Linked DNA regions of Rattus norvegicus. The main gene of each other region encodes a partner of the protein of the gene in region 3 in a complex. Links are inferred from orthologs where the notes say so. Each region holds a gene or a part of one and is shown on either strand. Other genes may lie near its edges.

Evidence for each region.
Region 1: the proteins of Rab9a (region 3) and Sgsm1 are in contact, whole or in part, in a crystal structure (PDB 4QXA), measured with the Mus musculus proteins. The link is inferred for Rattus norvegicus from reciprocal best matches to the Homo sapiens genes RAB9A and SGSM1. Residues at the interface, in NP_062747.1 of Mus musculus: Phe37, Thr39, Ile40, Gly41, Val42, Glu43, Phe44, Leu45, Trp61, Arg68, Phe69, Leu72, Phe76; in NP_766306.2 of Mus musculus: Leu256, Leu257, Tyr258, Gly259, Lys260, Asn261, Asn262, Tyr277, Asn294, Met297, Asn298, Gln361.
Region 2: the proteins of Rab9a (region 3) and Nde1 are in contact, whole or in part, in a crystal structure (PDB 7E1T), measured with the Homo sapiens proteins. The link is inferred for Rattus norvegicus from reciprocal best matches to the Homo sapiens genes RAB9A and NDE1. Residues at the interface, in NP_001182257.1 of Homo sapiens: Ile40, Val42, Phe44, Asn46, Gln59, Trp61, Arg68, Phe69, Ser71, Leu72, Pro75, Phe76; in NP_001137451.1 of Homo sapiens: Asp99, Gln102, Thr103, Ala105, Ile106, Gln109, Leu110, Tyr113.

The regions. Positions count from the first base shown.
Region 1 is NC_086030.1:49,023,141-49,026,787, forward strand, and holds part of Sgsm1 (small G protein signaling modulator 1), read left to right. Parts: intron 1-12; coding exon 13-81; intron 82-2,123; coding exon 2,124-2,711; intron 2,712-3,647. UniProt on the Homo sapiens protein: Interacts with numerous Rab family members, functioning as Rab effector for some, and as GTPase activator for others. Promotes GTP hydrolysis by RAB34 and RAB36.
Region 2 is NC_086028.1:1,380,498-1,384,730, reverse strand, and holds the start of Nde1 (nuclear distribution protein nudE homolog 1), read left to right. Parts: upstream 1-1,295; coding exon 1,296-1,378; intron 1,379-2,180; coding exon 2,181-2,334; intron 2,335-4,233. UniProt on the Homo sapiens protein: Required for centrosome duplication and formation and function of the mitotic spindle. Essential for the development of the cerebral cortex.
Region 3 is NC_086039.1:31,608,716-31,612,994, reverse strand, and holds the start of Rab9a (ras-related protein Rab-9A), read right to left. Parts: upstream 2,907-4,279; 5' UTR 2,779-2,906; intron 1-2,778. UniProt on the Homo sapiens protein: The small GTPases Rab are key regulators of intracellular membrane trafficking, from the formation of transport vesicles to their fusion with membranes.

The DNA.
Region 1 (3,647 bases), on a different chromosome or scaffold from region 3:
TGTCTGAATCAGTCCTCCCAGAGCTGCAGCTCAGGCCGCCAGAACCTCCGACTGCAGAGCGATTCCAGCAGCAGCACACAGGTGACTTTCAGAGGCTCCGCCCCCACCCATGCCCAGCCCCGCCCACAAGCCCGCCTCCCACACCCGCTGCTGCATCCATGCAAGCCCCACCCTCCCATCTTCGGTGGTAGGGTTTGGATGTCCATCATTCAACAGCTGCTATGCTGGATGCGTTCCACTTTCTCTGGCTAATATTGGGAGTATTACAAGCAGTTGCTGCCTCCTTGAAACCCACAGCAGTGGGATGCAGACCCTGTGGACCTGAGCATCCCGGGATCCAAGTCCGGGGTAAAATGACAAGGGTATGCATAGAATGTGCTGCATTCGTCAGGTCACCTCTAGGCCACTCACAAGAGCAGTGCAGTGCAAACAACATGGAAATAACCATCGGGCTGTGTCACTAGGAATGAAGGGCGCACGCCCCAGTCGGGTCTACACAGGTGCAGTGGTTTGTGGGTATTTTCACTCAGCATTGGTTGAATCTTAGTTGGACCTAGGGCCTATGAACTCAGAGGCTGACCAGGAGTCTGCTCCTCTATAAAATAGTAAACCACACTTTGCTTCTGCCTCCTTCCTCTCTGTCCTCCCTTGAAACAACTGTACTATGATCACAAGTCCACGGTGTGGCCTTCCAGAACCTTCTGGATGCCTTTACATACACGGAAATATATAATGTATAGAAAGACTTGGTGTCTCACTTAGGGTTTCACCAAGGCAAGTCTTATAGAGGCAAACGTTTGATTTGGGATGGCTTAGAATTTCAGATGCTAAGTCCATTATTATCATAGCAAGAAGCATGCCAGCAGACATGGTGCTAGAGGAGCCTAGAGTTCTGCATCTTGAAGGCAGAAAGGAAGGTCTCTCTTCTGCAGGTAGCTAGGAGGAGGGTCTTCTGCACTGGTTGGAGCTTGAACATAGGAGCCTCAGAAGCCCACCCCACAGTGACACACTTCCTCAGACAAGCCCACACCTATTTAACAAGGACACATCTCCTAATAGTGTAAGTCCTTGAGGACCGAGCATTCGAGCACATGAGTCTGGGAAAAGAGGGGCAAAACTATTCAAGCCACTACACTTGGTAGTTCTTAAGATCCCACATAAATGCTAGCAGACGTGTTGTATTGTGCAATAGCTTTTGGATGTCACTCCACCTGGAGCCTCAGTAAACAAAAGGAAAAGCACAACTGGAGTGATGGCTCAGTGGTGAAGGGCACAAACTGCTATGGCAGAGGACCCAGATTTAGTTCTCAGCACCTCCATGAGGTGCCTCACAACCAGGTGTGACTCCAGGAGATCTGGTGCCCTCTCCTGGATTGCAAGGCCACCGGCACTCATGTGCACACACAGAGACACACACAAATACATACATACATACATACATACATACATACATACATACGTTCCCAGCACCTACGTGGGGTGCCTCACAACCAGGTGTAACCCCAGGACATCTGGCGCCCTCTTCTCGACTCCAAAGGCATCTGTACTCATGTGTGCACACACCCAGACATCTACACACATAAATAAACAAATAATAAAATAACTTTTAAAATGAAAAGTATAAAAATGTGTATAAAATATTACCTTCTGGGTAGAATAATTTGTGTGTGTGTGTGTGTGTGTGTGTGTGTGTGTGTGTGTGTGTGTGTACACCAAGCTTATGCACATGACAAGGTCCCATCCCTGCTCATGAAGGAGCAGAAGTAGACCCAGTGAACTGAGAAACAGTGTGAGGCTTTGCCCTGGTCTTTACTGTGAACTTGAGGGCTAATGGCTGAAGGGCATAGAAACACAAGTAAGTCTAGGTGTTAGAGGTTTGTATCCTGCGAAGCCACACCCCTCTCCCAAACTTGTTTCCCTAGTCGCCCTCCTCAGAGCCAGCTTCAGCCAGTTGAATTGCCAATGAGACCTCAGCACTTGGAACACACCGCCTTTGTGCTGACTGCGTGCTATTCCACCCCATCCATCCTCAAGTAGTCCCTGTTGTTGGATATTAAGTTGCTGCTGTAAGCTGTGCTGCCATGCCCGTCCTGACTCGCACGTCCGTGTGTCCCTTTCCTCAGGTATTTGAGTCAGTGGATGAGGTGGAACAGACAGAGGCAGAAGGCAGGTCAGAAGAAAAACACCCCAAGATCCCCAATGGGAACCCAGCAAACGGCACTTGCTCCCCAGACTCCGGACACCCTTCCTCCCACAACTTCTCCTCCGGCCTCTCAGAGCACTCAGAGCCCAGTCTTAGCACCGAAGACAGTGTCTTGGATGTCCAGCGCAGCCTCCCCGCTGTGTTTCGGCCTGGGGACAGCAGTGTGGAAGACGGACAGAGCAGCGAGGCCACCACTTCCCGGGACGAGGCCCCCCGGGAGGAGCTGGCAGTACAAGACAGTCTTGAGAGTGACCTCCTTGCCAACGAGAGCTTGGAGGAGTTCATGTCCATCCCTGGCAGCCTGGACGTGGCCCTGCCCGAGAAGGATGGCGCCATGATGGACGGCTGGCCTGGCGAGGCAGACAAGCACGGTCGGGCTGACAGCGAGGACAACCTCTCAGAGGAGCCAGAGATGGAGAGTCTGTTCCCTGCCCTGGCTTCTCTGGCTGTGACCTCCTCTGCCAACAACGAGACGTCCCCTGTGTCCTCCAGTGGCGTCACCTACTCTGTAAGTCACCAGGAGTCTTTATTGGACGAGGGTAAGGCTGGCCGCAGGCTTCAACTCCCTCATGTCTCGCTCTCTCCATCTTGGGGGCTCACAGGAAGGGCTTGCTGGGCTGGGTCCCCTGGTATTGCCGTAAAATTAAAATAAGGGTTCTTTTATCCCGCACTAGATCCGGCACCACAGCGCCCCAGGACATCTGTTAGATGTCTTCATCTCAGTCAGCCAAGCGTCTCACCCGCTCTGCTCCATCCCATATCGCACTCTCTGAGCCTGGCAACAATCTCTCTACCCATCCAGTTCCCAAGGCAGGTTGCCGCCATGCCAGAAATATATCCCAATTCCATGGCGGCCCAGTGTCTCCAGCCACCACACACTCTCTGGAATTCAATTAAATCGCCACATGAAAGAACACACAACACAGTAACCTCTGATCCAACTGATAAGATATAATTGCCCACCTAGACATACAAAGCCCTGTACACATCCATCCCTTAAGAACATTCATAACAAACTACAAAGGTACAGAGTAGAATCTTTTTTTTTAAAAGATTTATTTATTCATTTATTATATATAAGTACACTGTAGCTGTCTTCAGATACACCAGAAGAGGGCATCAGATCTCTTTACAGATGGTTGTGAGCCACCATGTAGTTGCTGGGAACCGAACTCAGGACCTCTGGAAGAGCAATCGGGTGCTCTTAACCGCTGAGCCATCTCTCCAGCCCCAGAGTAGAATCTTAACATCCGCCTCCATGTTCTTTTGGCTGCTTCTTCCTCTCCTCTATCTCCAGTCTTCTCCTCCTCTCTAAAACTTTTCTCCCGCCCATCCTTCCTTCTCGTCCAATGACAGGCCTTGTTCTATCTTGTACCTGCCTTCACCTGCATAAATGACATCATCCTACAGTCTGGTTCCATCACTTCTCCTGGCTGGAACAAGT
Region 2 (4,233 bases), on a different chromosome or scaffold from region 3:
AATTACAAACATGTGCTACCACATCTGACTTTACCTCAGTGCTGGGGCTCTGAACTCAGCTTGTCACACTTGTTTAGCAAGCGCTTTACCCAGTTACCTGTCTCCTCAGCTCAGGAAGCCCCTTTCTAAAACTCCTCTGGCAGCAGTACTAGCTATGTTTACTAAACTGGGAACTGTATCCAGTACCAGCAGGGAGTGGATTCTCTGCTATAAGCTTCAATTGAGTATAGCTTCTCTGGTGATGATTTTGACAGGATCCCATCTCTCTAGGTTCATTTGCAACCTTTTCCTATTGGATCCTTTCTCAGACAGGCTGTTCCTTGTGAGTTTCTATCTGTAGCTATGCAGAAGGCCTCGATCTAAACATTCAGGGTCAGAGGATCACCTAGCCCTGGTTTATTGTACGTAAATTTATTGCATGGGCTCAGTTTGGGCTTGGTTCAGCTCCTGAGCTGGTGTTTCAGTGTAAGTTAGACCCATTGCTGAGCCATTCATAGATGTAGAGGCATGTTTAGGCTTGGTCTTTCCCAGATGCTGTCCCGGCTCCCTGAACCACACAGAATGAGAATGGAGCATTGGGGTACTATTACAAGAAGATGGCAGAATCAGTGAGCAATGGGGGGAGGGGTGCTTATAGATCATTCACTTTCTGTCACTTCAACTATGGGTATGATGACAAAAGTGACATGTTTTCTCTGAACTGGGAGAGAGTAGGTCTCTTGTTTGTAGCTTGTATGCCAAGCTAGCTGGCTCATGCAGCTTCTGAGAATTCTGTCTCTGTCTCTTGTAATGAGAGCCAAGCAGTAGTGTTGGTTTTGTCTTGAAGAGTGATATTTGTGTGTGTGTGTGTGTGTGTGTGTGTGTGTGTGTGTGTGTGTGTGCGCGCGTGTGTGTGTGTAGAGTCCTGTCCCTGTGCTCACCTAGGTCTGTGCAGTCCTACATAGAACTTCCTTCCATTTCCTTTCCTTCTGCCACAAGAGGAGCAGGGGTTTTGAAGATACCTTGTTTTGATCTACGGGCCAGATGTTAAATGTTTGTGCAGAGATAAACGTAAGCCTTGGGCTGTAACTGAAGATAGACTACTTTTTATTTGGATTTAGTTTTGATTTGAGAGGACGAATTTTTTTTTTCCTAATTTGATCTAGCATGAAGTTCAGTCTTTTAGTGTTGCTTTTTGTTATGTTTTGCTGCTTGTCTTTAATTAAAGACCAGCTGCTACCCAGAAAAGCTGCTAATTTCAAACTTTACTCCTAGACATCATGCCACAGGAAGAGTGAGCTCTTGCCCATTTTACCATGGAGGACTCAGGAAAGACTTTTGGATCAGAGGAGGAAGAAACAAACTATTGGAGAGACCTGGCCATGACCTACAAGCAGAGGTCAGTCCTGCAGCTTCCCTCCCTATTCTCCCTGGGAGGGTGGTGGGCACCATGTCTTATCTTGAGATGAAGAAACTAGGATCACCTTTCTCTACAGAGGCCCCCCGAGCAATTGAGAGCTCAGACAGCCTGCCCATGGAGCAGCTGTGAGAGGGAGAGTTGGAATTTGAACTACAAACTGAGTCACCTAATCATTCTAACATATCATTGTATGTTCTGGGTGGGTCTTTATATCAGGTCTTCTATGGAGAAGATTTGCCTGTGCCTATCAAAATAGGCTGCTGCTGAAGAGATGCCTCAAGGTTAAGAACACTTGTTTTTGTAGAGGATCCAGGGTCAGTTCCCAGAAGCCACATGGTAACTTACAGCCAACCTTAACTTTAGGTCCAGAAGGTCTGATGCCTTCTTCTGACCTGCTTGGGCATCAGGCTTGCATTTGGTCCACATACATGCATGTAGGCAGAACACTTGTACACAGAAAATAAAATTGAAAAAAGTTAGCCTCTTGAAGATTTTGAACTTGAAAACTGGTGTTTCAGTGCACGCATCTAATAGTAGAGAGGGAGAGATGGATCCAGCACTGTGTAATTCAGGCTGATCTTGAATTTGATCTTGAATTCTTGAGCCTCCTGCCTCAGACTCCTGAATGCTAAGATTATAGCTGTGTACTTCAATGCCAGTTCTTATAAACTGTCATCTTTTCCATAAAATGGGAATAATGGTAGCTGAATAAAGTCATGATCCACACACCAATACCAGCATCATTAATTCTGTGATAAATGTATTTGTAATACTGCTACAGGGCAGAGAATACTCAGGAGGAACTCCGAGAATTCCAGGAAGGAAGCCGGGAATATGAAGCTGAATTGGAGACTCAGCTGCAGCAAGCTGAAACCAGAAACCGGGACCTATTATCAGAGAATAACCGCCTTCGAATGGAGCTGGAGTCTGTGAAGGTGAGGGGCCCCAGGGGACATGTGTACAGAAAGGAATGGCTTGTGGCATTCCTTGCATGGCTGGAGAAGCAAGGAAGTGGCTGCACCAGGCCCACTACTTTCTGTCCTCCCTGTGTCTGGTTATTGTATCTTTTCTTCCCCAGTAGGTGGAAATCTGTGATGAGCAAGCCATATACATGGCCTACAGCCCTTCTTGGTGGTGTCTGTACTGGTTTCACAAGGGACATGGCAAGGAGAGTTCTTCAGAGACTGCAGTGTCAGAATTGTAGCTCTTTGAGACTGAGTCAGATAGTCCAGGCTCACTGTGACCAGCCCTGAATTTACTATGTAGCTGAGGGTGGCCTTGAACTCATTGCATTCACTTCCTAAGTGCTGGGATTAAGGGTAATCACCATCCTGCCTGGCTCTAGAATGTCTCCTACTTGTATATTACAAGGTACAGTATGGCATCTCTTAGCTGAATATGGCTATTGAAATGAAAGCTAATGAGGAAAACAATTAATTCTATTAACATTACCACAGTTCAAGTGCTCTGTAGCCACATATAACTCATGGGTTTCACTTCTGGGTACAGGGACTACAGAATATCCTCTTCTAGAACAGTCTGTTGGACCATGCCAGTCATAAGCAGGTTTATTAACTGGGCACTACAATAGTCCTACTCAGACTCCTTGGCTTTATTTTCCATGGTTTGGGTTACCAGTAATCAAACAAAATCCAAAAAATATTAAATGGGAAATTCCAGAAATAAACAAGTTATACATTTTAAATAAGTTTTATTATGGTATAATATAATTATTCCATTTTGTAATTATTACTAATTTCTTAGTTTGTAAACTAAGTATTATAATGTAAGACAGCAAACATGGGAATAACAAAACATGTATAGGGTTTGGTGGTCTCTGAAGTTTTGGGGGGATGTAGCATAATGTCTTAGAATGTGTCCTCTCAGGTAAAAATGAAGCTGGGGCCTGGGTGAGTGCATGTGGCTATGAATACCTTGAATGATTCATTTGAAGGTTCATGGGCTCTGCAAGGACCAGGTGAGAGTGGACAGGATGGTGGTAGCAGGTAGTGAGAGGATTAGCAGGCACATGGTTGGGAAAGTTGGGGCATACATTCTTTGAATGACTGTCACTTAATCATTCACAGCATCTTCCATTGTCCTGGCTAGTTTTTTGTCACGCTGAAGTCATCTGAAAGGAGGGAACCTCAGTTGAGAAAATGTCTCCACTATAGGGCATTTTCTTAATTAGTGGTTATGGGGGAGGGCCTAGCCCATTGTACATGGGGCCATTCATGGGCTGGTGGTCTTGAGTTCTATAAGAAGGAAGGCTGATCAAGTCACGAGGAGCATGCCAGTAAATAACACCCCTCCATGGCCTCTGCATCAGCTCCTGCATCTAGGCTCCTGTATTGTTTGAGTTCCTGTCCTGACATCCTTTGATGAACCATGATATGGAAATATAAGCCAAATAAACCCTTTCCTCCAAGTTGCTTTGGTCATGGTGTTTCATCACAGTAATAATAACCCTAACTAGGATAACAACTGCTTCTCTTCTGAAATTTTAGGTCTATGGAGAGAAGGTTCTGTTAACTGAGCTCAGGGGAGGCTAGGAGAGGAGGCCTGAAGCTGCCTGTTGAGGCTGTGCCTCAGGTGGGAACTGAGAATGCTTGCACAAAAGCCCCAACACTACATAAACTGGACATGGTAGCTCATGACTATCCATGGAAGGTGGACAGGACAGGCAGTTCAAGAGTATCCTTTGCTTCTTGGGTACATAGTTTGTTTGAGGCTGGTTTGGCACACATGAAATAGTATCTCAAGGAAAGAAGATGAGGTACTGTTGTTGGGGTAGAAGGAAGAGGAATACATTCAGTGGCCAAAGCTATCAAATG
Region 3 (4,279 bases):
TGACTCGAGTCCAGCTTCAGAAAGGTAGAAGCTCTGCCGCTATGCTTCCTTCTGCGCAGCACCTTTGTACCATGCCCCCCAGGATAAAACCTGTGGATGATAATAAGGGAAAAACACATTTCCTAAGTCAACTGCAGAGGTGCCTAGTAGCTCAAAAGGTTTTGTCATTTTTGTCTAAAAATTCTGAAACTGTGTGTAGGTGCACATTCCTGTAATCCCAGAACTTAAGAAGTTGAGGCAGTAGAATCAGGAATTCAATGCGGGCCAGTACATAACAGCAATACTGAGGCCAGCTTTAAAAAAGAGATTCCATTACCAGGTATTCATAAACCTTATAGAATTTAGCCCCAGCACGCTTTTTTTTTTTTATTAACTTGAGTATTTCTTATTTACATTTCGAATGTTATTCCCTTTCCCGGTTTCCGGGCCAACATCCCCCTAATCCCTCCCCCTCCCCTTCTTTATGGGTGTTCCCCTCCACACCCTCCCCCCATTGCCGCCCTCCCCCCCATAGACTAGTTCACTGGGGGTTCAGTCTTAGCAGGACCCAGGGCTTCCCCTTCCACTGGTGCTCTTACTAGGATATGCATTGCTACCTATGAGGTCAGAGTCCAGGGTCAGTCCATGTATAGTCTTTAGGTAGTGGCTTAGTCCCTGGAAGCTCTGGTTGCTTGGCATTGTTGTACATATGGGGTCTCGAGCCCCTTCAAGCTCTTCCAGTTCTTTCTCTGATTCCTTCAACGGGGGTCCTATTCTCAGTTCAGTGGTTTGCTGCTGGCATTCGCCTCTGTATTTGCTGTATTCCCCAGCAAGCTTTTAAAATAATAAAAATGCTATCTTAAACAGTAAGACACTGTGCTTAAAGAACTATAGAATGGCCTGGAATATGAACCAAAAAAATGCTTTTCTCCATTTTTTTTTCAAATATCCCCTGAGAGGATAAAATTGCCTCCCACAGTGCAGAACTACTACTTCAAAAAACCCACAAACATATTTGAATTTCAACATTGTTCCCTCACTCCCTAGGTGACCTTGGCAACGAAATCTAACCTTCCCGGGTACCAGCAAATTTCTCAACTGTAACAGACGCATTGCTTTGGAAACACCAGGAAAATGCAAAGGATGCACTGAGCGTACTGACTCAAACAGAACCAGCTCATGTGAGCCGGAGTAGGTCTTCCCAATAAATGGTTAAAAAATAAAAGAATGAGGGAGGTTAGAAATTGCTAGAACTAAGAGAACTTGAGGCCTCCAGAGTACTAGAATATAAAATGGAAGTAGTTGAATGGGGAACATGTAAAAGGATGAGGCTGGAAAAGAGACGACCGCCAATGTCTTTTCCTGCTCTCCAACAATGGACGGTCTGGTTTTTGCTTGTCTACTTTAACCTTCCAGAAAATAAAACATAAATATCCTTCAATTCCTCCAATGTTCTAAGTAAGTAAGCCTCCAAAACCATAAATCTTTCAGTACAGCGAAACACTACAATGCACATGAAGAATCCCCAAAGCAAGAAGACACGGCCACTTAAATACAAAGCTGGTATATGTTGTTACTTGGAGCGCTACACAAGAAGTGGTAACTTCTAACTAAGATTATAAAAGACAAAGTAAAAGCAGGGCACTTAAGTCCCTTAGCTGAGGGAGGAGTTGCGAATTTCGCACAGGGGTACAGCTCTTTCTTAGCAAGCACAAGGCCCTAGGTTTGGTCTCCAGCAATGGAAGAAAAAGAAAAGAAAAGGGAAATAGTTCGTAGATAGTCCCGGGTTTCCTTCAATTCTAGTTGAGATTTCAGGCAGTGCAGGGATTTTCCATTGCAGTAGAGCTAGCGAGGAAAAAGGGAAAACTTGTACCAACAAAACAAAACAAAAACCAAATTCAGTCTGTTGATTTTATGAGGACGCTGTGAAAAGCCTGGTCACGTGCCAATTCGGAAACTTGCAGAAAAGTTATTCCTCAAAAGAAGTATGATCATGGGATGTGTCATCACTTAAGAAACAAAACACAACCATAATACGTTCACCAATCATTTAGTCAGCATTTAAAAGTCTCGTCTAGTCTTTTCACTAAGACGGAGGGATGGAAGAAACGCGATTCTGAAACCTCAGGCAAGATCTGAATCTGACAATGTTCCCAACCCAACCGCCTACACGTTCTTTGCCCTGGCTTTAACTTCCTAGCTCCCTCACCTGAGTGGGTCAAAGGGTAACATGTCAGAGGTCGCCAAACTCAAATAACACAAGCTTGCCTTCCCCAGCATTAGTCACACAGGGGCAAGGTTTGGTCTCGAGCGCGTGAGTGTCCCCGTGTGGTTAGGGGAAAGATTGGTGTATATGCTTATACCCAGGTATTTGCATTGTCCCTGAGAGCATCGTTCCACCATCCTATTCCCAACTGTTTGGAAAACATCTCTTTCCTGAGATGTTTTAAGGATCTGATCTGTCTGTCTCTCTGTCTCTGTCTCTCTGTCTCTCTCTCTCTGTCTCTCTGTCTCTGTCTCTCTGTCTCTCTGTGTGTGTGTGTGTGTGTGTGTGTGTGTGTACGCGCGCGCGTATATGTCCCGAGTGATTGGGTGTGTGCTCCTCTTCCCATGTGATTGAATGTGGGTCATCTGGAGAGTAGGGGACAAGCTGCCCCCGTTGCCCAGCCGTCTATAGACCCGCGCCAATTTGGCTCAACCCTCGCCCTGGCGGCCTCAGCTCCGGCTGCTCAGCTCCGGCTGCACGCGCTCTTAACCAGCTCTGGCCGGATCTCAAATCGGATGATGACCCCCACTCACCTTGCAGACACACACAGGACGTCCTGGGAGCTATTCGCCAACACACCTGGGTACAACCAGGGCAGAAAGAGGGCCAGAGAGTCGGGAATGTCGAGAGCACTTCCAGCAGGGAGCGACTTGGGCAGAAGGACCAATATGGCGGTCAGGCGGGGCGGGGCCAAGGCAGAGGGGCGGGGCCTTGACAGTGGGGCGACGGGACGGGGCCTGAGTCAGTGGGGCAGGGCCTAGAGTGGTAAAGCAGGGCCCAGGTCGAGGGCGGGGCCTAAATTCATAGGGCGGGACCAGGAGCTACGGGGCGGGGCCTGCGGTGGTAGCACCAGGCCAAGAGCTGTAGGGCGGGGTCTGGACTGTGGGCGTGGCTTGCGGCAGCGATCCCAAACCCTAAGGCAAAGACCCTAGTATGGATCGCAGGAATTAGGCCCAAGGAAGGCAGAGCCAGGAAGTCTGGAATCTGCTCTCCCCACAGACTGCTTTGCAAAATTGCAGTTTTCCTTTGTGCTAGCTGCTGCTCTGGCCTTCCCACCTGTGTTCCTTCTAACTGTGGTCACGAAGTAATAAGTTATTCTTGAAGTTTAAAGTAGAAAAAGATCATAAAAGTACTATAACAACAGTATTGAACCTTTAAAAAACAAATGTGCAAATGAGCAAAGAACAGGCAAATGGCAAAGGAATAAGGAATATGTTTGCGAACTGTAGACTAATAAAGACCTTTTTAAGTTTTTAAGTGTTTTTCCTTGTTAAAGTACTGCCTCCTCAGCTCTAATTGTAAATCAATAATGGCAAAACGTAGCCTCAGAGGCGTTTGCATTTCTTTGCTTTATAAGGGGAATTGAGTATATAGAATGGTAAAAAATAGTCATTGGAAGAAAGATTCTTAGCCCTCCATAAACATAGATTATGTTTATTTTCTAAGAAAAGACATTTATTTTTATGATCCACAACAATTTACATAATGTCTGCCTCTTTGTAGAGTCATTTTCAGGTAATAACCTTTCATCAAGCACCAGAAGATTATAGTTAGCAAAGTTTCTCACAAGTATGATTTTAGAATAATTATGAAAATAAGGCACATAATAAATATTGAGTTCCAGTTTGAATTTTAATGTTTTTTTCTTATAAAAAGAAATCTATTTTTATATGTGCAGAATATCTCCCCAGAGGAAATCTGAATAAAGATTTAATGATATACAAATCTGTTGAATATGGAGAAGTGAGCTGGGAATGCAGCTCAAATTACAGTGCTCGTCTACCATACAGGAAACCATGGGTTCCAACCCAACACCACATCAACCTACTAGCATTCTAGAAGTGGAGACAGGAGCTCAAGATCATCATGGTACGGAGTGAATTGGTACATAGGATATACGAGACCATCTCTAAGGAAAAATATGACTACTTTTCACATAGAAGGAAAAACAGAATTCAATAGTATACAATTTAACCATAAACATTTAAGTAATCAAGATGTTGATATTTTCTCTAATCCATTATCAATGTGAGA